Linked DNA regions of Callithrix jacchus. The protein of the gene in region 5 binds, or shares a complex with, the protein of the main gene of each other region. Links are inferred from orthologs where the notes say so. Each region holds a gene or a part of one and is shown on either strand. Other genes may lie near its edges.

Evidence for each region.
Region 1: TUBGCP2 (region 5) and TUBG2 share a complex: the UniProt entries of both Homo sapiens proteins name them as parts of the gamma-tubulin ring complex. The link is inferred for Callithrix jacchus from reciprocal best matches to the Homo sapiens genes TUBGCP2 and TUBG2.
Region 2: the proteins of TUBGCP2 (region 5) and TUBGCP3 are in contact, whole or in part, in a cryo-EM structure (PDB 8Q62), measured with the Homo sapiens proteins. The link is inferred for Callithrix jacchus from reciprocal best matches to the Homo sapiens genes TUBGCP2 and TUBGCP3. Residues at the interface, in NP_006650.1 of Homo sapiens: Gln172, His173, Pro175, Ile176, Phe177, Pro178, Trp180, Arg184, Ala186, Leu187, Ile188, Gly189, Phe191, Leu222, Tyr223, Val226, Val228, Asp229, Gly230, Arg231, Glu278, Ser281, Phe283, Gln287, His290, Ala291, Ala294, Arg297, Val300, Lys301; in NP_006313.1 of Homo sapiens: Glu272, Asn273, Cys274, Ser286, Leu287, Asp289, Thr290, Val292, Arg293, Glu296, Trp299, Ser361, Thr363, Leu364, Arg365, Leu368, Val369, Tyr372, Lys375, Ile376, Lys379, Ala382, Ala383, Asp386, His387, Ala402, Tyr403, Lys405, Thr406, Gly407.
Region 3: TUBGCP2 (region 5) and TUBGCP5 share a complex: the UniProt entries of both Homo sapiens proteins name them as parts of the gamma-tubulin ring complex. The link is inferred for Callithrix jacchus from reciprocal best matches to the Homo sapiens genes TUBGCP2 and TUBGCP5.
Region 4: TUBGCP2 (region 5) and NME7 share a complex: the UniProt entries of both Homo sapiens proteins name them as parts of the gamma-tubulin ring complex. The link is inferred for Callithrix jacchus from reciprocal best matches to the Homo sapiens genes TUBGCP2 and NME7.
Region 6: TUBGCP2 (region 5) and TUBGCP4 share a complex: the UniProt entries of both Homo sapiens proteins name them as parts of the gamma-tubulin ring complex. The link is inferred for Callithrix jacchus from reciprocal best matches to the Homo sapiens genes TUBGCP2 and TUBGCP4.

Annotation. Positions count from the first base shown.
Region 1 is NC_133506.1:121,228,168-121,232,150, reverse strand, and holds the start of TUBG2 (tubulin gamma-2 chain), read left to right. Parts: upstream 1-1,183; 5' UTR 1,184-1,405; coding exon 1,406-1,454; intron 1,455-1,725; coding exon 1,726-1,838; intron 1,839-2,044; coding exon 2,045-2,212; intron 2,213-2,532; coding exon 2,533-2,601; intron 2,602-3,098; coding exon 3,099-3,125; intron 3,126-3,983. UniProt on the Homo sapiens protein: Tubulin is the major constituent of microtubules, protein filaments consisting of alpha- and beta-tubulin heterodimers. Gamma-tubulin is a key component of the gamma-tubulin ring complex (gTuRC) which mediates microtubule nucleation.
Region 2 is NC_133502.1:28,000,516-28,004,015, reverse strand, and holds part of TUBGCP3 (gamma-tubulin complex component 3), read left to right. Parts: intron 1-1,583; coding exon 1,584-1,773; intron 1,774-3,500. UniProt on the Homo sapiens protein: Component of the gamma-tubulin ring complex (gTuRC) which mediates microtubule nucleation.
Region 3 is NC_133507.1:1,819,763-1,823,763, reverse strand, and holds the start of TUBGCP5 (gamma-tubulin complex component 5), read right to left. Parts: upstream 2,801-4,001; 5' UTR 2,765-2,800; coding exon 2,619-2,764; exon of another isoform or gene 1,296-2,618; intron 196-1,295; coding exon 142-195; intron 1-141. UniProt on the Homo sapiens protein: Component of the gamma-tubulin ring complex (gTuRC) which mediates microtubule nucleation.
Region 4 is NC_133519.1:33,151,153-33,154,652, reverse strand, and holds part of NME7 (nucleoside diphosphate kinase homolog 7), read right to left. Parts: intron 3,457-3,500; coding exon 3,290-3,456; intron 1-3,289. UniProt on the Homo sapiens protein: Possesses an intrinsic kinase activity. Displays 3'-5' exonuclease activity with a preference for single-stranded DNA. Does not seem to have nucleoside diphosphate kinase activity.
Region 5 is NC_133513.1:126,631,928-126,635,427, forward strand, and holds part of TUBGCP2 (gamma-tubulin complex component 2), read right to left. Parts: intron 2,940-3,500; coding exon 2,811-2,939; intron 1,948-2,810; coding exon 1,771-1,947; intron 523-1,770; coding exon 363-522; intron 1-362. UniProt on the Homo sapiens protein: Component of the gamma-tubulin ring complex (gTuRC) which mediates microtubule nucleation.
Region 6 is NC_133509.1:31,143,768-31,147,267, forward strand, and holds part of TUBGCP4 (gamma-tubulin complex component 4), read left to right. Parts: intron 1-1,205; coding exon 1,206-1,340; intron 1,341-2,797; coding exon 2,798-2,914; intron 2,915-3,500. UniProt on the Homo sapiens protein: Component of the gamma-tubulin ring complex (gTuRC) which mediates microtubule nucleation.

The DNA.
Region 1 (3,983 bases), on a different chromosome or scaffold from region 5:
CCCCATCTTTATAAAAATACATTTTAGGTCAGGCATGGTGGCTCACACCTGTAATCCCAGCCCTTTGGGAGACTGAGGCTGGTCGATTATGAGGTCAGGAGTTCGAGACCAGCTGGCCAATATGGTGAAACCCTGTCTCTACTAAAAATACAAAAAAATTAGCCAGGCGTGGTGGCACGTGTCTGTAGTCCCAGCTACTCGGGAGGCTGAGGCAGAAGAATCACTTGAATCTAGGAGATGGGGGCTGCAGTGAGCCGAGATTGTGCCATTGAACTCCACCCTGGGCAACAGAGGGAGACTGTCTAAAAAAAAAAAAAAATTTAAATGGCCAGGCACAGCTCACGCCCGTAATCCCAGCACTTTGCGTAATCCCAGCACTTTGCGTAATCCCAGCACCTTGGGAGGCCGAGACCCGCGGATCGCTTGAGTTCAGGAGTTTGAGACCAGCCTGGCCAACATGGTGAAATCCTGAATGTACAAAAATTAGCTGGGTGTGGTCACGGGCACCTGTAATTCCAGCTACTTGGGAGGCTGAGGCAGGAGAATTGCTTGAACCCAGGAGGCGGAGGTTTCAGTGACCTGAGACCGTGCCACTGAACTCCAGCCTGGGCAACAGAGCGAGACTCTGTCTCAAACAAACAAACAAACAAACAAAAACCATATATATAAATTAGCTAGGCATGGTGGCACATGCCTGTAGTTCCAGCTACTCGGGAGGCTGAGGTGGGAGGATCACTTAAGCCAGAAGTTCAAGGCTACAGTGAGCTATGATCGCGCCACTGTATTCCAGCATGGGTGACAGAGCGAGACCCCTCTAAAAAATAAAAAATAAAAAGGTTACATACATGTGTATGTGTGTATTGTAACACCATTAAAAAACAGAAATTTAAAAGAAGAAAAGCTGGCTTCTAGCACCTGGAACTAGCAAAGCTGACAGTCACTCACCTACCAATATAGGTAGGTGACTCTATACCTGGACAACCACATCCACCTGGTTGCTCCGCCCCTTTCTTCCCCTCCCTGTCCCTCTGCTCCCCTCCGCGTCCCTTCCCTCTCCTTCCCTCTCCTCCCCTCTCTTCCCCCCACACATCCAGGTTCCGACCTTGCCACCCCCAACGAGTCTCACTGCGCAGGCGCGGACCGGTGGGCAGGAGCGGGCGTGGCCTCACTCTGCGCCTGTGCCGAATTCCAGCTGCGACTGCTGAGGGAGAAAATGATGCCCAGGTTGGGCTCCTCGGCCCGCCGGCCGAGGAAAGGCCTGCGTTGCACACGCGCAGACCGAGCATCCGCGTCAAGAGGGGAAGAGAGAGCGCGCTCCCCACGTCTGGCGCGCCTGGCTGCCAGGCATTCGTCTCAGCCGTGACTCTCGCCAGGCCGGGGCTGGCGCGCCCACGTCTGAAGAGTGATGCCCCGGGAGATCATCACCCTGCAGCTGGGCCAGTGCGGCAACCAGAGTGAGCAAGAGAGCGCCGGCCCCGCCGGTCTCTGGTTCTGCCCCTTCGGGTCCCACCCAAGTGCCTGGCTTCCACCTTTCCCTTCCATGAACCCCCTACCCTGCTGCTCTGGATAACCCGACCAAAGCTGCGCCTCCAGCCCGGAGCTGGGGCAGCTCCCAGACCCCCACATCTTGGGTCCACCCTCTGATCGTGTCAGCCTCTGAGACTAAAACTGGGTTCCTCAGGCCTTAAGGCTCTAGCAGACCCGGGCATCTCCCTCCTCCCCCAGTTGGGTTCGAGTTCTGGAAACAGCTGTGCGCCGAGCATGGTATCAGCCCTGAGGGCATCGTGGAGGAGTTCGCCACCGAGGGCACTGACCGCAAGGACGTCTTTTTCTACCAGGTGCCCCCAGCAACTTGGCCAGGGGCGGCAGTGGCCCAAAGGGCCGGAAGGGAAGGGAGTGGCCTGGTACTGGAAGGGGAGCCCCACTGGGCAAAGGGGCCAGGCGGCTGGCTTGAGGAGGGAGGGCCCAGGGAGCCAGAGTTGGGAGGACTTAGGACTTGGGCCGCCCTGGCTGATTGGTCTTCCTCCTGGACTCTCCTTGACAGGCAGATGATGAGCACTACATCCCCCGGGCCGTGCTGCTGGACCTGGAGCCCCGGGTGATCCACTCCATCCTCAACTCCCCCTATGCCAAGCTCTACAACCCAGAGAACATCTACCTGTCGGAGCATGGAGGAGGAGCTGGCAACAACTGGGCCAGTGGATTTTCCCAGGTGTCCAGGCCACCATTCCAGAGACCTTTGATATTCCCACCCAGAGGCAAGGCAGGCTCAAGCTACTAGGAATTTGACCAGACTGACAGAAAATAAGAGAGAAAAGGATGCCCAGAACAAGAGAGACAGTCAGGGAGAGGTTTATGCAAATTTTGTGCAAATCATTTGCAAAAGTAGCACTTCTGGGTTGAGGGCTACAGCCCTGGGTCTGCTTCAGGGTGGCAACAATATCCCAGGGAAGACAGAATTCTTGGTGCTGTGCTGAGAAAAGATGAGCTCTGGAACCTTTGTCCTGACTCCTTTTCCATATCTCTATACAGGGTGAGAAAATTCATGAAGACATCTTTGACATCATAGACCGAGAAGCAGATGGAAGTGACAGTTTAGAGGTGAAGTTATGGAGCAGGGGAAGGAATGGGAGGGAGGCTAGGCTGAAGAGTGCTGGGGAAAGGTCAGGAGGTGGCCTGAATAGGTGATGTGAGGGGAGCAATTCAATTCAAAACCCATTTATGGAGCATCAGATGTGGAATATTGAGGTAAATAAGATATAGTCTTTGTTCTCAAGGAAGTCATAAATCGGGATGGCACCGGCCCCTTAGGCATGAGTCATTCAGCTTCTTCACCAGCTCCAAACCTTCCCAAGGAGCCTCAGCCTGGATACATAAGAGGAAGCTTTGAGACATGGGCGTTTTGGGAATGGGGAATGAGTCATGCCGAAGTCTCTCCCCCAGAACCTTGGAGACTGCCTCTCCATCTCTCCCCATGCTGGGTGCAGTATGTTCCCGGCTCACAGTTCTTATAACCCATGTAATTTCCTAAGAGACTTGAGCAATAAGGGTATGTTTTGTTAAAATATTTGACCTTTTGTCCTTGGTTTCTGAAACAGCTCCAGAACAGCTCCAGAGTGATAAAGGTGAAAGACAGTCTGTTATTTATAACACGCCCCTTTCTTTTAATCTGTCATTTTATTTAATTAGTTAATTTTACTAACCACTGTACTAAGGAGGAACAAATGCCTTTCAACCAAATCTGAGCTTATGTCATTGAGGTGATGTTTGGAAAGTCCCAGATAGCCACTGGATTGGGGGCTGGTTACCAGGGAAACAAGCCTGGTGCTCTGAGGGTTGGAATTTACAGGCCCACCCCTCACCTCTGGGGAGGGGAGAAGGAGTGAAGATTGAGTTGCGCATCAATTGCCAGTGATTTAATCAATCATGCCTGTGTAATGAAGCCTCCATAAAAATCCAAAAGGACTGAGTTCGGGGGCTTCCAGGAAGGTGAGCAAGAATACATCCACATGCTGGGAAGGTGCAAACCCAACACACAGGGCAGAAGTTCTGTGCTCCAGACCTTTCCAGAGCCTCCCCTCAATGTCTTCATCTGGCTGTTTATTTGTATCCTTTAAAATATCCTTTATAACAAATGGGGAAACATAAGTGTCTCCTTGAGTTCTGTGAGCTACTGTAACAAATGAATTGAACCCAAGGAGCAGTCCTGAGAACGCTGATTTATAGCTGGTTGGTCAGAGGCACAGCTAACACAACCTGAAGCTTCTATTGGCATTAGGAGTAGGAGAATCTTGTGGAACTGAGCCTTCACTCTGTGGGATCTGATGCTATCTTCAGGTACAGATACTCCTCAACTTACAATGGCTTTATCAGGATGTAAACCCATCATAAATTGAAAATGTCAACTAGGCATAGTGGCTCATGCCTGTAATCTCAGCACTTTGGGAGGCCAAAGCATGTGGATCACCTGAGCCCAGGAGTTC
Region 2 (3,500 bases), on a different chromosome or scaffold from region 5:
AATGTGAAAAAAGAATAAAGAGTGAAAATTTAAAAACTGGAACACAAGAGAGATGCCTAAACCCTGAAGAGCAAGGAGTGCACTGAGGAGCCTCTGGGTTCTGTGTCTTCATAGGCTGCTTTGGGCTAAAGCTGGTTAAGACTGATTCAGACCTTCTCTTTGGAATGAATTTTCTTTTATTTCCCCCCGACACACTCTTGTTGCCCAGGCTGGAGTGCAATGGTGCAATCTTGGCTCACTACAACCTCCACCTCCCGGGTTCAAGGGATTCTCCTGCTTCAGCTTCCTGAGTAGCTGGGATTACAGGCATGCGCCACCACACCAGGCTAATTTTTTTTAAATTTTATTAGAGATGGGGTTTCTTCATGTTGATCAGGCTGGTCTCGAACTCCTGACCTCAGGTGATCTACCCTCCTCGGCTTCCCAAAGTGCTGGGATTACAGGATTGAGCCATGGAATGAAAATTTTTAATGACTCAAACAAGGGTATGATGAAAACATTTCTAGAGAACAATCTTTATGTCATTTAAACTGTGCAAGTCAACGGAAATAGATCCCCATACCCTTAAAACAGGACGGTGGTGAGCTCATCAAGGGGCTTCATGGTTTCATTTCTCCAGGCAGACCTCACTCATCCTCAGAACTGCATGTTCTTCACTGGGGCATTTTAGTCTTTACTACCAGTATGTAATTGGAATAATAACACTAAGATAGGCCTGTCTTACCTGCTTTCTTATTCTGAAGGACAAGCAAATCTTAAAAGTCCTCTGATATACTCCAGCTGGGTGACTTGAATCAGAAGAGCTTGCCTTGTTCTTACTTAGTCTTGAGCTAGCGTTTTGCCTTCTCTCAGTCTGAGGTTGTTCCTCCCACTGGGGTTATTTTATAGCCCAAGTATGATTGTGGGTTTAATGAAGTCAAGTATTGAGATACATTTTAAAAACAGTTTTGTGCTCTGCAGATGTAAATCAGCAATAAAAGCAGCTCTATTGTGTGGGTAGTCTCCACATGGAGACTGTATTTCTTATCAATAGAAAGCTATGGAAGTGCTTTTTTCACCCGTATTACTGCTTAGAGTCAGGCGTCTTTCTTGGTGACGATCTGGTTTTGTACCCTAGACGTCTCCAGCAGTCTCCCTGGAGTTCACTCTGTGATGTGTGATAATACTCCTCAACTTTTCGAGTTGTATAATTCATCAGGTTTATTTGCATGTGTTGCTTTCATCTTGAGACTAATTTATGGAAATGTCTTATGGATGTGGACAGGTGACTCAGTACCCACTTGCCCTATTACCAGTGTGTTTTGGTGGGATTTCAGGTTAGTTATAGTGTAGAAAGGGACTTGGAAATCATAAAGACACAAATGTAGGTGTCTGCTGTGAACCCAGCTGGCAGCAGCATTTTCATCTTTGTGGTCTCAGGGCTCTGGTCTCCTGTGGAGCGTCCAGCTGCCTGTGCCTGGGGTCAGTCTGTTACTGTTGCCACAGACAGTGGTTGGCCCTGAGGCTGGACGCGTGTGCCTTCATTTCTCCTCTGTGAAAATACAAGTTACGGATGCCTGTGTGCTTTCCCCTGTTCTTTCCAGCTGCAGACTTATTCACAGACTTAGAAAATGCATTTCAGGGTAAGATTGATGCTGCTTATTTTGAGACCAGCAAATACCTACTGGATGTTCTCAATAAAAAGTACAGCTTGCTGGACCACATGCAGGCAATGAGGCGGTACCTGCTTCTTGGTCAAGGAGACTTCATAAGGCACCTAATGGATTTGCTGAAGTAAGACACAGTTTTGATTTCTTTAATATATTTGACATGATAAAGAGTCTTGTGTTTAAAAGAATAAACGATATTAAAGGAAAATGAGTTGAATTCTTACAGAGCATATTTTTTGAATAAAATCGGAAAAGAATAACATTTTCAAAAGTTAAAGTCCCTTTATTTTTGCTCTGTTTTCAGTAGAGCATCATTGTCATGTCCTGTGCTTTATTCAGAAGAGAAGCTGGTTTTTCTTAACAAAACTGTGGCGCTTCAACAGTCTTTACGTGTGAGGAGTTGGTCTAATCAAAATGAACTTGAGCTTGAGTTTGAAATAAATCTGAAAAATAAAATATATTTTAAAATTGAATTTTACTTTCATATTTGTAGTTAATGTTTCACATAAAAACACAACTTCTGCTCTTTTCATTTTGTTCCCCGACATTTCTCATGGAGTCTTCCCTTTCAGAATTAAGTGTGTGTTATTCTCTACCAGGAGACACAGAGGCAGTTCTGGACTGGAGCCTGCTGTGCTCCTGGGTCTAGAGACAGCACAGAGCCGAGGGGATAGTGCAGACCCCTGCCCAGGTGGCAAGAGCCAGGCGTGAGCCCCCAGCAGGGCCACGTCACGGGCCTGGAGATGTTCACTCTGGTGTTTATAAGAATGAAACTTCTTTTCTTTAGATGTTCCTTTTACGACACTTAAAATGTTCCCTTTAAGATGCAAAATAGTAACTTACCTTTAAATCCTGTCAGGGCCGCCCAAGCAATTGTTTTAGGCCTCAGGTCCTCAAGTGTCAGTGTATTCCAGACTAGAAAGCCTGCTGCAGTAGCTTGTGGGCCCGCTTCCCGAGAATGAGGTTCTCAGGTGTGGGGTAGAGCTCGAGGATTTGCACTTCCAGCAAGTTCCCAGCGGCTGGTGATGCTGCTTGAGTGGGGTTCCACATTGAGAACCACTGTTTGAGGCATGCAAGCTCTCCTGCCTTCTCGCTGGAAGCCACTCTTCCGTGTGAAAACTGATGTGGCGTTTTGAGGCATACAGAGCCATAGCTGGCTTGCGACAAGCTCATGTCTTGGTCATAGCTGATGTCTGCTGACAGGTTTGAGTTATAATCACGGAAGCAGCATTCTGCACTGTGAGAAGGTTCACTAGTATGATAAATACCTGTGATGAGGTCAACACCTGTTTATGAGTGGTGGTGAGTTTTTCAAGGGAAAATGGTCTCTAGATGCCATGGTGGTCTGGGGTGTGTATGTGGGTCAGTTGCTGCAGATGGAGATTAGAAACCAAAGTGAGGTTTAGGACCATGATGGTGTCATAGGTCACATCAGATAGCAGCCGAATGCATTAGCCTTGTGCCCAATTTTAAAGTTGAGTGTTGCATTCTTGCTATTAAGTGAAAGATTCGTTTCTCCTCAATGTTGTATTTTACGTTTCTAGTTTTTAGGCTTATTTGACGTTGTGTGTCTTTCTTACCTGTCTCTGCCCTGCATTTTGTAGCGCTTACACATATACCTGAGTTGATTGGTGATGTCCTTAACTTGGTCACCCTGATTAGAGACATGTTAGCTCCGTGGTTGTAAAAGCAGATGTCAGTACCCCTCAGAAAACGCTTGCTGAGAGTGTAGTGGTTCTTGGCCCTTTAGAATCATGACACCCACATACCCTGATGAGATGGAGACCTCTCCTTCTACCATCGGGTCTAAAAGGAAATTATATCAGCTCATGTAACTCATAGGCCAGCCTG
Region 3 (4,001 bases), on a different chromosome or scaffold from region 5:
TCCCTTGAACCAGGGAGTGGGAGGTTGCAGTGAGCCGAGATTGAATGCCACTGCACTTCAGCCTGGCGACAGAGTGAGGCTCTATCTCAAAAAAAGAAAATACATATATTTCTGAATGTATACATATATACACTGACTTACCCTTCAATTGTCTTTTCTATTTTGTGGCTGTTGACATCCAAGAAACGATGAAATCTAATAAAGACAAAATGTAGCTCTTATGCCAACTCGTCACATAGGTAAGTGAATTCATTTCATGGCCCTCCGCATCGCCCATAAGCCCTGTACTCAGCTACACATTTTCAGAATGGAGTGTACCTCGTCCTCCGTTACCTTCACCATCAGGCAGGCAAATAAGCCTCGGGTCCAGGACTATGCAAGCATCCTTTCCTCAGCACACAAATGCTTCCTGAGCCTCCCAACCTTGTTCTCTGGCTCCTCTATCTTCCCATAAGGCCCCGTATCTAAGTCCAGCAGAACACATTCTACAACAAGTGTTCCCAATCTTTCTACGTCATAGTGAGGCCCAGTGAAGCATAAGGACCCCTTCTCTGAATAACGTTTTTAAATGCCAAAAAAGAAATACAAAGGAATCCGATTATACTGAGATAAGTTGTCAAATATTTCAGTAAGTTTATGGCAAGAAATGTTATTTATGAAAGCATTAAATAACAACATTTAGCAGTAGGTCCAATAACCATTAAAATAACAGTAAACAACATTTACAAACATCTACCACTCTTACTATAATGCGAAAACAGTATGCGATTTCTACTGGTAATAAAAGTCATAGGTAGTCTAATACTACTAGGATTTTCTGCCTTCATTCATAATGGAAGGAGATGCTACTTTTCAGTTAGAGATTAGTAGAATATTTTCCTCATCCAAATTGACAAATTTCTGAATTATAAAAGTCCCTATCATATAATATACTGTGATTAACTTTTGTCTCTTTCTTAAAGACGGAGGCTATATCTTACTCATCTTTGAATTTCTAGGGCCTAGAATTCCAAATGGCCACAATTTAAAAAAATGTAAACATGTACTATTCATTTTTCTGATGCTTTAAAGCATCATAAAATTAGAGCATAGCCTATGCAACTAATGTATATGTATACAGCATAGCCTATGCAAAAAACGTTTTGCCTTTTAGTATCACAGCCAGCAATCTGTACTCAAAAGAAATACAATTTCACTACTGAAAACAACATCTGATTCTATTCCAATAAATGGCTAAATGGAACACCACTTTACCTATGATTTCTTTCCTGAAATCTGTGAAAGTAAATACTAACCTCTAAGGTCTCTTCCAGCTCTAAAATGATGAACATCTGCTGCTGTCATTTACGTATATTAATAGAAAAATAACTTGGGATTCAGCATTTACATTTCTGTATTGTATAACCTATTTCGCACACTGTTTATTTTTATAAGTTACAGTTAAGAATTCAGTTATTACTTCGGAAACTTGGCATGCTTTAAAAGAATCTGAAAGCCCTGTATTCCTACTACGAACCAACTAACTAGATACTTTACCGGCTGTGATCGTTAAGGTAACTAAGATCACAGGTTTTGAAAACCTAATCATTATTCAAGAAGATTTTTACTGAAATTAAACAGGTACGACATGAACATTCTTTCAGTAATAATTTCATTATGAGTAACGAACTAAAGTATTGTTTAATTTACATCTCCCATAAAGAAAAACAGGAGATCTCAATCCATCTAAATATCTAAACTCTGTAAGTCTCTAAAAATTAGTTACAAGAGGCCGGGCTTGGTGCTCACGCTTGCTATCCCAGCACTTTGGGAGGCCAAGGGGTGGGGGGGCAGATCACGAAGTCAGGAGATTGAGACAATCCTGGCTAACATGGTGAAATCCCGTGTCTAAAAAAAAAAAAAAAAAAATAGCGTAGGGTGGTGGCATGCACCTTGGGGAGGCTGAGGCAGGAGAATCGCTTGAACCCGGGAGGCCGAGGTTGCAGTGAGCAGTGATCACGCCACTGCACTCCAGCCTGGGCTACAAAAACAAAACAAAACATAACAAAAACCAACCAACCAAACAAGAAATTAGTTACAAGAGAAACTGCATTAGCAATGGTATTAGGTGACTTAGCGTGCTACGTGCCAGGAGCTGTGCAGGGATGCAGCATTCTAGCTGGAGTGCAAGCAGAGGAGACAGTAATGACAGGTTACATCAGTGTCCTAACACGCGTTTTTGAAAAAGGAAAGCAGAGTGAGAGGGAGCTTGTACTGGCTGACGAGAGAACAGAAATCAGTGAGAATACAATCTCTTTACTTAAAAAGAAAAAACTATATAGAGATGGAGTTGCTACGTTGCCCAGTCTGGCCTCGAGTTCCGCCTGGGCCTCCCACAGCGCTGGGGTTGCAGGCGCGCGTCCCGCCCTGCAAGAACCCAGTTCCACGCTTCCCCCGTGACTATCAGGAGAGCCTGGCCGGCGTGGAGCTGGCGGCGGCAGGGCCTGAGAGGGCTCCACGAGGCCGCGTCCGCCTCCGTCCCCGCTCCGCCCCGGCGCATCCAGTTCCCGGGTTCCGCGGGACCCAAGCGCGGGATCCGGGCTGGGGCCTAGAACCCGCCCCCGCGCCGCGCCCCACACCTAAAGTTGGACCAGGCGAAATTTAGGGCGAGCTGGAAGTTGGGGTCTGTCTCGTCCTGGAGGCCCGCGACACTGCGGATGAGCTCCCGCACGTCGCGCTCCTGCTGCGCGTCCAGCCGGCTCCAAGGATGTCCATGCAGCGCCATGCTCCGCCATGCTCCGCGCTCCCGCAGCGCGCGTCTAGCCACTTGGCGGCTGTTCCCGCGAGAGTTCGGGCTCTCGCGACAGTAGCTTTCTGAGCTGGCGGTTTTCTCGCGATAGTTCGAGCTCTCGTGCCGGGCATCTAGAGAACTGGCAGCTGTTCTCATGGCAGTTCGCGCTCCCGCTCTCGCGGCTACGGCTTGGCGCTGTTCCTTGGCTGGGGCTGGAGTGTACATTTCCTGGTTGCGCGACGGTACGTTTTCCATTGTACTCAGCCGGTGTCATCGTGTCGTATATAAGGATCTCTGGTCAGCCTCGGTGATGATCAGTGACCCTGAGAGCAGCCCGTTAGGTGCCCGGTCAGCATACGTATTGGGACCCGCCTTTCCAGGAACCGTGACCTGCTTAGCTGCTGAACCCTCCTGGCGCTGCAGCTTCTCCCTCCAGTGATGATCTCTGCGGATCTCGGTGCCCCATCCACACAACACAACCAGCATCGGCGTAGCAGCTGTCCCGACCCGCTAGCAACCCCAGTTAGCTCCTGCTCCTCCTGCTCCGCAGGGGCGGCCAGGGGGACTTCATAACCCCATCCGTCCAGAGGTGCGGGGGACTTCATAACCCCACTGGCCAGAGGTGATGGGAGGACTTCATAACCCCCCCGGCCAGAGGTGATGGGAGGACTTCATAACCCCCCCGGCCAGAGGTGCTGGGGAACATCATAACCCCCCCGGCCAGAGGTGCTGGGGGACATCATAACCCCCTCGGCCAGAGGTGCTGGGGGACATCATAACCCCACGTGGCCAGATGTGCTGCGGGGGGACTTCATATTTGTCACCTGGCCAGAGGTGCTAGGAAGATTGCATAATCCTCAGCTGGCCAGAGGCGCAACACCGTTTTTGTTGTCATCAAAGCTGTACCTCTTCAGTGACAATTTTAACTATTGCGTTAAGCAAACCCTCCCCCAAACCCATAACAAATCCCTCTTTATGGTTTTCATGTGATTTATTATCTTGCATTAGTGTGGTAATAGTCGACAACATCTAAAACATAGACAGCATGCTACTGCACACATCTCCTTAGGAGGAGAAAATCACAGCATTAGAGATTATTCGACTGAAGGGAAGTCATACTCTGCCTAGGCAGCCTTTTCGCCTCCAGTTTCAGCTCTCGTCTTTATGCCGGTTTCCCATACCTGTACGTGCAGCTCATATTTTTCTTGACGCACCAAATCCATAATCTAAT
Region 4 (3,500 bases), on a different chromosome or scaffold from region 5:
TATTTAGCATTTACTATAATGTTGTTCACCTTTCTCCCTTTCATTTGATTAGATGGTTTGCTTTCCGGCTGAGATTCAAAAGGAATGGGACTGCTGAATGTAAATATGTGGCTCAGTACTTAAAATTAATGAATTCTTAAATAGGATACTGGCATTATTTTTCATTAATTTTTATAAACTTCTTACTATAGCTATAAAGCTACCAAAGTAAACATTTAATACCTCATTTATCATATGGGGAATAGCTTCCTTGTCATATAAAATTCCTCTATCATTCATGTACACACATACATATATATATTGACTCTTCATATGAAAACTTTTTAATTATTTCTGGTTTGAGGTAATAAATTTTTAGAAAGACACAAATTGTATTGTGTCTCTACAACTAAACAACAGAGTCATAAAGCATCAATTGATTACTAGCTAAAATTAAAATCAAAGACTGACTCATTGACAACTTGTAACCTTCATCCATGTGATTAGAGGATCTTTATATAGAGAGGATAGAAATGTGAACCAAATGTCAGATTTCTACAGTCGAAGGGAATTGGAAAGCTGAAGCTAGTTCATGAGTTAAATTGAATTATATTAAATTATCTGGATAACTGCTCCTCAGTTAGCTCCATGGGATCAATTTCACTGATCATCCTCACTACCAGCTTTATTACAGAAACAAAAGACTAAAGTGTAATTCGTTCATAAATTTTCCTCAACACTATACAAAACTGAGAACTAGACTAAATCAGTTATTATACAGAAGGTGTTTCTGTAGAATGCTGACAGACATATACATATATTTTCATATCTTTACTTTTTGCCATTTAAATAAAACAATACATTTTTGAAACTCTTGGGTTTCGAAGAAATTTATTTAAATCACCCAAAGGGCTGCTGGATTTTCTAACCCATATGGAGTTAAGAAAGAGTAAGAAGAGAAGATGGTGAATCAATTTGAGTTAGTAAAATATATACTGTATATATTTTCATTAACTATATGAAGCCCAAATACTTCAAATTTGTCTTCATATTAAAATAGAATTCTTCCGTTCCTCCTGTTTTCAAATCAGTCCCATTCAACAGCACCTGCCCTATTAATTAGAGGTTTAGTAGAAAGAGAATGAATTTTAGACAAAAAATACAATTTCCCTTTACTTTCTAGCTGTGTGACTACAGACAAGTTACTTACCCATTCTATAAAATAGATTTAACAACATTCACTTCTGTCAAATCAGAATTAAAATATGTAAATTATAATTTTAATGGCTATTTTATTTTTATTAGGTCAGACTCTTAACCCTGCCTCCCTAAGTCACTTATTTTGCTAGTTTAAATATTTAAAGTAGTCTTCCAGCGTAAGCAAGATGGCAAAACTGCATTTCTACCAAAACACCAAAAAATTAGCCAGGCATAGTGGTGCAGGGCTGTAGATTCACCTACCCAGGAGACTGACCTGGGAGGATCACTTGAGCCTGGGAAGTCAAGGCTACAGTGAGCTATGATCATGCCACTTCACTTCAGCCTGAGTGACAGAGCCAGCAGACCCTGTCTCAAAAATAATAATAATAAAATAAAGTAGTCTTGAACTGAGGTGTATGTAAAGTGAGTATTGTAATGACTGGCATATAGTATGTGCTCCATAAACGAATGCTACATATATTTATTAGTTTTAAATAAAGGAATTATGGTTGGCATTTCCTTAATCCCATAGACTTTTACATAAGATCTCATAACATTAAAAGATCCTTATTTAATATCTGAAATGTTTGTCCTATTTCAAAGGGAGTCTTTGGTCTTCCTTTTTTATGAGGCATTCACCACCCCTCTGATCCATTTGTGTACTAACACCATTTGTGTACTAACAGCCACACTGAGAATCCAGTCACCTCAAGAATTATAAAGTGCTTGTATAGAAAGACTATGGAAGTCACAGAAAGAGATACCATGTTATTATGAGAGTGACTCAGATGCTATGCAATCAGCTAATCATTTGAGTAGTAGATTTCAAAAAACAGTTTGATTGATTTGTTTTCCCTATTGAATTAAGTCATTTTTGGAGCCTTTTATACATACAGTCTTAACTTCTACTAATAATCCCTATTTTTAGTTACAATACCAATCACTCTGCAGGAAAAAAAAATCTCCCCAAACCATATAAAATATAAGCTACAGCAATCAGAGCCAAGAAAGATGACAAAGGAATTAAAATTTCATTTCAAATATAATTAATTCTAGTCTTAGAAACTGGAAACTCATAAATGCAGAGACTGAAAATTAAAATGCCATTGTGCTAATATTGAAAATCAATATTCGGAAGAAAAACATTATCAAAAGTCCTAGTTTTCTGTAAGTCTAACTTTCAATTGCATCTTCAAATTGTTCTCTCTTCTAATTTTTTTCTTAACCCCTTTTACAGATGACTGTATCTCTTCTAAATCAAAACTGAGAAAATGAATGATAAATGCAGTTTTGACAAACAATAGAGAGAATAGAGACACAGGTGGAGGCATCATGCTACAGTTTGTCTTTCATAGAATGAGCCACATGCAGTGGGAGGAAGAGAAGGAGGCGGGATGCCAGCCATTGGGAAACCCTTCCTTTGACATACCATACTCCAGACATTTCGATGACATCAATTTATTCACTCATTTATTTAACAAACTTTTGTGGGTCACACTCTGAATAATTTACTGTTTGAGGTATCGCTATAACAGTTTTTAGAGATACAGTTACAAACAAGACAGATCAGTCTCCCAGTATCACAATTTCTTTATATGGTTTCTTTCCTTTTTCCTTTTTACAACACTCATATTGTCATTTTTCAATTGATCAGTTGATCAACATTTCTTAGATATATATGTCTGTTAATAAAGCTCAAGAACAGACAGCATTAGTTACAAACAATCTAGACAAAATCTTCCTGGTCAACTATATCAAAGATCATCATTTGAAAACAGGGAGAAAATGGAAAAAGGAAAGAATAAATAATAGATTTTTAAATTGTGATTTATGAATTCATTCAGCTAATACAGAGAAGGTGCTTGCATTATGGAAGGAGACGTGCTAAGTGCCACAGGAGACATAAATATGATTAAGTCAGATGAGACATAAACAACTATGATATTATCAATTATTTTTCAATTAAAAAGAAAAGAAAAAGAAAGAATGAAGACAACCATTTTCCAGGTCCTATTTGTCCTCATTATGGTTAAACCTCCCAGTCTTAATTCTGCCTGACTTTGGGCTTAAAGTCAGAGAATGGAAAAAGAATACATAATTATTTTCTTACTTTTCTTTCCTACTTCCCAGCTGGCGAGCTGTATATTGATCTCCATAGTCAATTAATACCAACTGTCGAGAAAAGACATTCACTTTGTTGCCTATAAATAAATCTTCCAAGTGCAGGTTATCATATTTGGTCCGCTTTAAAAAGGTACGATGATTCTTTACATCATGCTAGAACCAGAAACAACAATATAATGAACAAAAAAAATTATTAA
Region 5 (3,500 bases):
CTTTAAGAGGCCTCCGAGAGCACGGCCGTAACGAAACCTACGGAGTCAAAATGAGAGCTGCACACGGTTCTGGTGCCTGCAGGTCTGCCCCAGGGCACCAGGGCACCAGGGCACCAGGATGCTGGTTGGGGAGGGGCCGGCTGCAGGCTGTCCTGCAGCTCAGCTCGCAGCTCCGGCAGGAGGGACAGGAGAAGAACCTCCAGGACCCTGGTGAGCCACTCTCTGCTGCCACCCAGGGATGGGAATGCGGAGGCGGCGGCCAGTCAGAGTGGAGCCTCGGGACCTGAGGAAAGGCAGGCCCAGGGGAGGGCTGCGCTGCAGTGTCCTGCCAGGCAGAGGCCAGAAATAAACGCGTCACATACCTATCGGCAAAGCCGTGTCTGTGCTCACGCCGGAGCCAATCAGGAAATCTCCTATCAGTGCAGGTCTCTCGTACACCCACGCTGGGAAGACCGGGAGGTGCTGGCCTGAATTGTTTTTGTTCTGCTTGTCTCGAAGCATCTTTCTTTTAAGTTCCAGAGACTACCAAGGACGTTTTTAAAACAAACCAGAAAGGTACACTTTAGTGTACAACAGACACACCCGCGGAAACAATCGTCTTTGCAAAGACGATAAAGACTCAGCCACACAGAAACGAAGTGCACCTCGGCACTGCCACAGCGTGAGGGGCTGGGAACAGGGCAGATGGGAGTCCTAGCCCTTCTTCTCAGGGGTCCAGGTCCAGCAAGGGGCCCCCCAAGAACCATGAGCACCAGCAGGGGAAACCATGGGAGAGGCTGCACCCCGGCACAGAGCAGCTGTTTCAGAGAAGGGCGCCCTGTGAACAATCAGAATTGCTTCCTCCTGGCAGTGACTACCTTTGCTGGGTGAAAACAGGCTTCAGCAACAGACAAGCATCCTCACCCTGCCGGAGAAGGGCCCCAGGAAGGGTTGAGGCAGCAGCGCCACAACAGGGTGGCTCCTAAAGTGGTCAGAGCACCCGCCCTCCTGTACCAGTGGCTGCCAGAGGCTGACGAAGTTGGCCAGGGCTGGCCCAGCTTTCGGAAGCACTGACTTCCGCTCAGGGTGGGTCAGGGACAGTGGCCGGTGCAAACTGTCTCTGTACTTGGCAGTAAGACCCAGTCTGTCTCCTTACATGCCACACGGGGAGAGCGGTGCCATGGCTGAGGGAGACGTGGACAAAGGCCTGGCATCACATCCGGCACAGATGTGTCCAGCAACCGGCCGGGTCCTTTGGAGCCACTGCACTCGACACACACCCGGCAAGGCCAGGATGCCTCAAGGACGCAGCTCTGAAGGAAGTTTAAAGGCCACAAAGGCAGAAACGTGGCAGCTCCAAGGAGAGAGACTGGGAGATGACTTACATCAAAAGACCAGGGCAGGACAGAAAATCAAAACAAAGTCAGGTAGTACATACAGATGAGGTAACAAAAACGGTTCTATTTTCAAGAGTCTTGAAAATAGAATAATCTGAAAGCATCTCCTCAAAATTGTCAGAAATTAGAGGCATGAATGCGGAGTGAGGACTGGGCGGGGTCAGAGCCACATGCCACCGTGCAGCGTGACTCCCAAGTGGGTAGGAACCTCGCTGGTATTTTTTCTTGTGGTCCAGAATTCTAGGTTTAAAAAATATTAAACATATAGAGCTAGGTCATGATTAAGTGTTAAGCCTCAGTCTCTCTAATAATAAATGACAGAGACGTGCCCTTCCAGCAGGGGCCCGGCACAGCAGTGAGAGTGGGCGCCTGTGGACAGCCACAGATGCAGTACCTGCTGCAGTGTGGAGCCCGTGGCCACGCTGCCAAGCTGCTTCCTCAGCTCCTCGAGCTCCTGCATGGAGATCTTGGAGGCCGCCGCAGGGACGCTGATGCTGGTGGCACTGCTGCCCACAGTGGCGGCTGCAAGCTCAGCTCTTTCTTTCGCATTCTGTTGTAAGTACTGCAGAGTCTAAAAACATGCAAACACGCAAATCTCCACACCAGGCCAGCACAACCCTGGCCACGGTGGATGAGCAGGGACACCACCACCAGGATGGCAGGTGCTCCTCTTAATAGCAAAGCGACGCACATAACAGGCAGGAATCCAGCACAACACACGGGAAACGAGAAGCCCCCAGCCCCAGAGGCTGTTTCTCAGGTTTACATCCATCATGGGTGATCTTTCACTCTGGTTCACCACAAATGTCCTACCTGGCCTTGAAGTGTTACTGGTGAACTGACGGGATGGTGGCGTGGAGAGGGCAGGAGATGCCACCTCAATCCCGATACGGGTGCACGGTGCCACATGGCAGGCCGCATGGCACCTACGAGATGCCACCTTAATCCCGACATGGGCGCACGGTGCCGCATGGCAGGCCGCATGGCACCTACGAGATGCCACCTCAATCCCGACACGGCTGCACAGTACCACATGGCAGGCCGCATGGCACCTACGAGATGCCACCTCAATCCCGACACGGGTGCACGGTGCCACATGGCAGGCCGCATGGCACCTACGAGATGCCACCTCAATCCCGACACGGCTGCACGGTGCCACATGGCAGGCCGCATGGCACCTACGAGATGCCACCTCAATCCCGACACGGCTGCACGGTGCCACATGGCAGGCCGCATGGCACCTACGAGATGCCACCTCAATCCCGACACGGCTGCACGGTGCCACATGGCAGGCCGCATGGCACCTACGAGATGCCACCTCAATCCCGACACGGGTGCACGGTGCCACATGGCAGGCCGCATGGCACCTACGAGATGCCACCTCAATCCCGACACGGGTGCACGGTGCCGCATGGCAGGCCGCATGGCACCTACCTCTCTGTCTTCCGTGAGCTTTGACAGCAGGTACACCAGTGGGTCAAGGTTCCTCGTATTTTTAGATTTCAGTTCGTCATATTTCTTTAGAAAGTCTTCTGGAGTACGAGAGAACTCTGCAATTTTAACCTCAAAAGCACAAACATGAGTGACTTAATGACAGTAATTAATAAAGCACTTTAAAAAAATCTTCAAAAAAATTAAGCACAAAGAACCAAGAGTTAAACTTGGGTAGGCTAAATAATCATCTCTCTGAAACAAACTAAGAAAACTCATCTGAACATTATGTTAAACTTATCCATGTTTTGAGCCAGGCAGTGGCTCACACCTGTAATCCCAGCACTTTGGGAGGTCAGGGCGGGTAGATTGCTTGAGTCCAGGAGTTCAAGACCAGCCTGGGCAAAAGAACAAAACCCCATTTCTTTTTTTTTTTTTTGAGACGGAGTCTCACTCTGTCGCCCAGGCTCGAGTACAATGGCGTGACTTTGGCTCATTGCAACCTCCACCTCCCGGGTTCAGGTGATTCTCCTGCCTCAGCCTTCTAAGTAGCTGGGATTACAGGTGTGCACCACTACACCCAACTAATTTTTGTATTCTTAGTAAAGACAGGGTTTTGCCATGTTGGCCAGGCTGGTCTCAAACTCCTGACCTCAGGTGATCCGCCTGCCCTGGCCTCCCAAAGTGCTGGGA
Region 6 (3,500 bases), on a different chromosome or scaffold from region 5:
TGCAGTCATAGCTCACTGAAGCCTCAAGCTCCTGGATTCAAGTGATCCCCCTGCCTCAGCCTCTCAAGTAGCTGTGACTACAGATACATGCCATCATGCCTAGGTTTTTAAATTTTTTTGTAGAGATGGAGTCTCACTTTATTGCTCAGGCTGGTCGCAAAATCCTGGCTTCGGCCACGCACAGTGGCTCACGTTTGTAATCCCAGCACTTTTAAGAGGCCGAGGTGGCCAGATCACTTGAGGTCAGGAGTTCAAGACCAGCCTGGCCAGCATGGTGAAACCCATCTCTACTAAAAATACAGAAAAATTAGCTGGGTGTGGTAGCACATGCCTATAGACCCAGCTACCTGGGAGGCTGAGTCAAAAGAATGGCTTGACCCCAGGTGGTGGAGGTTGCAGTGAGCCAAGATTGCACCACTGCACTCCAGCCTGGGCGACAGAGCAAGACTCTGTCTCAAAAAAAAAAAAAAACACCTCACTCCTGGCTTCAAGTGATCCTCCTGCGTGTTTGCCTCCCAGAGTGTTGTGATTATAGGCATGAACTGACATTAGCCTCTTAAAGGCATTTTAAAGGCTCCTTATCAGCAATCTGTTATTTATTATTGACTTGCCCCTTATTTTTATTCTTTGCTATCACTTCTGGAATCCAATAGGTGACCAAATCAGTCAGTGGAGGGGATGTGACATGAGTGGGTTAGGATGGAGCAGGGGAGTCTAGGCACGGTGGCTCACACCTGTAATCCCAGCACTTTGGGAGACCAAGGCAGGTGGATCGCCTGAGGTCACGAAAAAATAGAAAAAATAGCCAGGTATGGTGGTGGGCACCTGTAATCCCAGCTACTTAGGAGGCTGAGGCAGGAGAATCACTTGAACCTAGAATGCAGAGGTTGCAATGAGCCAAGATTGTGCTGCACGCCAACCTGGGAGACAGAGCAAGATTCCATCTCAAAAAAAGAAAAAAAGATGGGACAGGGGAGAGTGGTCAGCCAAGGTAAAGGGGGTAAAGCCATTGGAGGGGGTCAGCCGTTGGAGGGGGTAAAGAATTATGCAAGTAACTTCCTACAAGGGTGGGCAATATAAGGGTGTCTTTGGTTAGCCTTAAAAGTGGCTTGGTTAGAAGGAAGATGAGTGGGGGCAAAGCATTTTCATTTCAACTAGTCCTTAGAATATGCAAGGTGCTAAAATTTTTGTGTAATGTCTGTCAGGTAGATGTGTTGGAGTCTCAGTTCTCCCAGCTGCTTCATCAAATCAATTCTACCCGAGACTTTGAAAGCATCCGATTGGCTCATGACCACTTCCTGAGCAATTTGCTGGCTCAATCCTTTATCCTATTGAAACCTGTAAGTAAGAGTCATTGGTTCCTAAACTGCTTCTAATACTGACCATTCCTTCAGGCACTCTTAGTTGACAAGAAATGAAACTATCATTAAGCAATTACTCATTTTAAAACATTTTTAAAGAATGTATAAAGCAAAACTAAAAGGGCATGTTCAAAGGGACCTAAGATGTCTTTGAATTTCTGAAATTATAGGGCATGGTAAGCAGCTATAGATGAAAGAATTATTTGTGCTTAAACGCTCAGGAGTTAAACTCAAAAACCTTGCTTGACAGTACAGAGAAACCAATGAAAAGCATATGGAGTCCACCTTCTAAGAAGTCTTTGGACCAGGATGGATCATTCATTTGAGAGTTCTTTTCATAGACAAGTAGTGTTTCTCTCTGGATGTGTGTACGTGTTTCTATTAAGTACATAATGTATCTCCTTTATCGCACTACATTGGAATCATCAGGACCCTTTAAAAATATCTAGGTGACGGCACTTAAATTAGAGTCCCTATAATAGTGGGATCCAGGTACCAATATTTTTTAAAGCTCACAAGCTAGTTCCAATTCCAGGATAAAGAACAGGAAGATTGAAATGATCTCTTGTAGTTTCTAATGTAATGGTTATGCTTCATCTCTGACATAACACTGCTAGTTGTTATTCCTCAGTGTGCTGTAGCACAGCTGTTAGGGACCATTTTGTTCTGGTGTTTAGGGCTATTTCTGCTGTACGAAGAAGGGTAAGTTATATATTAATAGATGCCAGTCCAAAGGGCTGGCTGAAAATAACCCAAAACTACTGTGATGGGTAGACACTGTCTTTATGTGGCACAGATGTATCTGTAGGGAAAAGCAGACTATCAGAAGAGATCATCATCGTTAATTATTTATTGAGTGCTTACTGTATGCAAGGCACTGGGGATACAAAGAGGTATAAGTCATGGCTCTGCCCTTAAGGAGCTCACAATCTAGTTGGAAAAACAAGACATATATACATACAAAAATCATTAACAACACAGAGGCCTGAACAATTGCCAAGTGGACAACAGTACAGATAATAAAGAAGCAAGAAATGGGGGTTCACTAAAGGCTACAGTGTGGAAGGGAGTGCTTCACTGAGAGAGTGGGTAGGACCTGAACTAGTATTAAAAAGAAGAGCATCCGGGGCAAAGGGAACAACACTCACAGCTCAGAGGCAGGAACACACTCTGTGGGTCTAAGAAACGAAGAGTTAAATGTGGCCAGAGTGGAGGTTTGCTGCAGGGCTGAGAGAGTAATACCAGCTTAGCCAGGAAGGGATGTGTTTGTTTTACACATTATGTGTATTTGAGGGGCTGGCAGGCCTTGCAAAGTGGCAGTGTCTATCTTCTCAGATTTGGGAGGTCAGCTACTAATTAGACTGTTCTCCCAAATCTTTAATTTCATGAAGGTACCTTCCTTCCTTTTCCTAATGCCAACTCTGTTTCCTGGGTAGGTATTTCACTGCCTGAATGAAATCCTAGATCTCTGTCACAGTTTTTGTTCGCTGGTCAGTCAGAACCTAGGCCCACTGGATGAGCGTGGAGCCGCCCAGCTGAGCATTCTCGTGAAGGTGCGTCTGCCTGGAAGTATGCAGCCTTGCTGAAAGGATAGAGGTGGTTTTGCCAATGGAGAATTCATTATCTTTCCTCTGAATCATTAAGACATTTCCTCAATACACACACGCACAGAAAGAAGATACAAAGATTAAAATGTTGGTATCAGTTGCCTTTGAAGCACGTAATTACTGTGCCACCTCATAGTGCTCAAAAGTAGTTCAGTCCTGAATAGTTTATTCAGCCCACCAAATAAGCACTGGCTTTGTTCTAACTTCCTCACATCCTACCCCTCCTTACTTCCTTGAACTAACTAAACCCCATCTCACTGAGATAATTACCTGCTTATAATCAAAACGGGTTTTCCCCAACCTCGGTACTTGACAAAATATGTTAACTGGAAACCAGCTACTAAATTCCTCCTGATGAAAGCGTACTTTCATAGGAAGTCATGCAAGTATAGATTTGGTACAAGTCATTTTAGGAACTAATAGAAATAGGAATGTGGGAAGGCCAGGTGGTTCTATATAATTTTGAACAAGGCTTTTCCAAGAAACTCCCCCCTCTGCCCCCTCCTCCTTATGGAGAGTTGTTGAGTTGAAG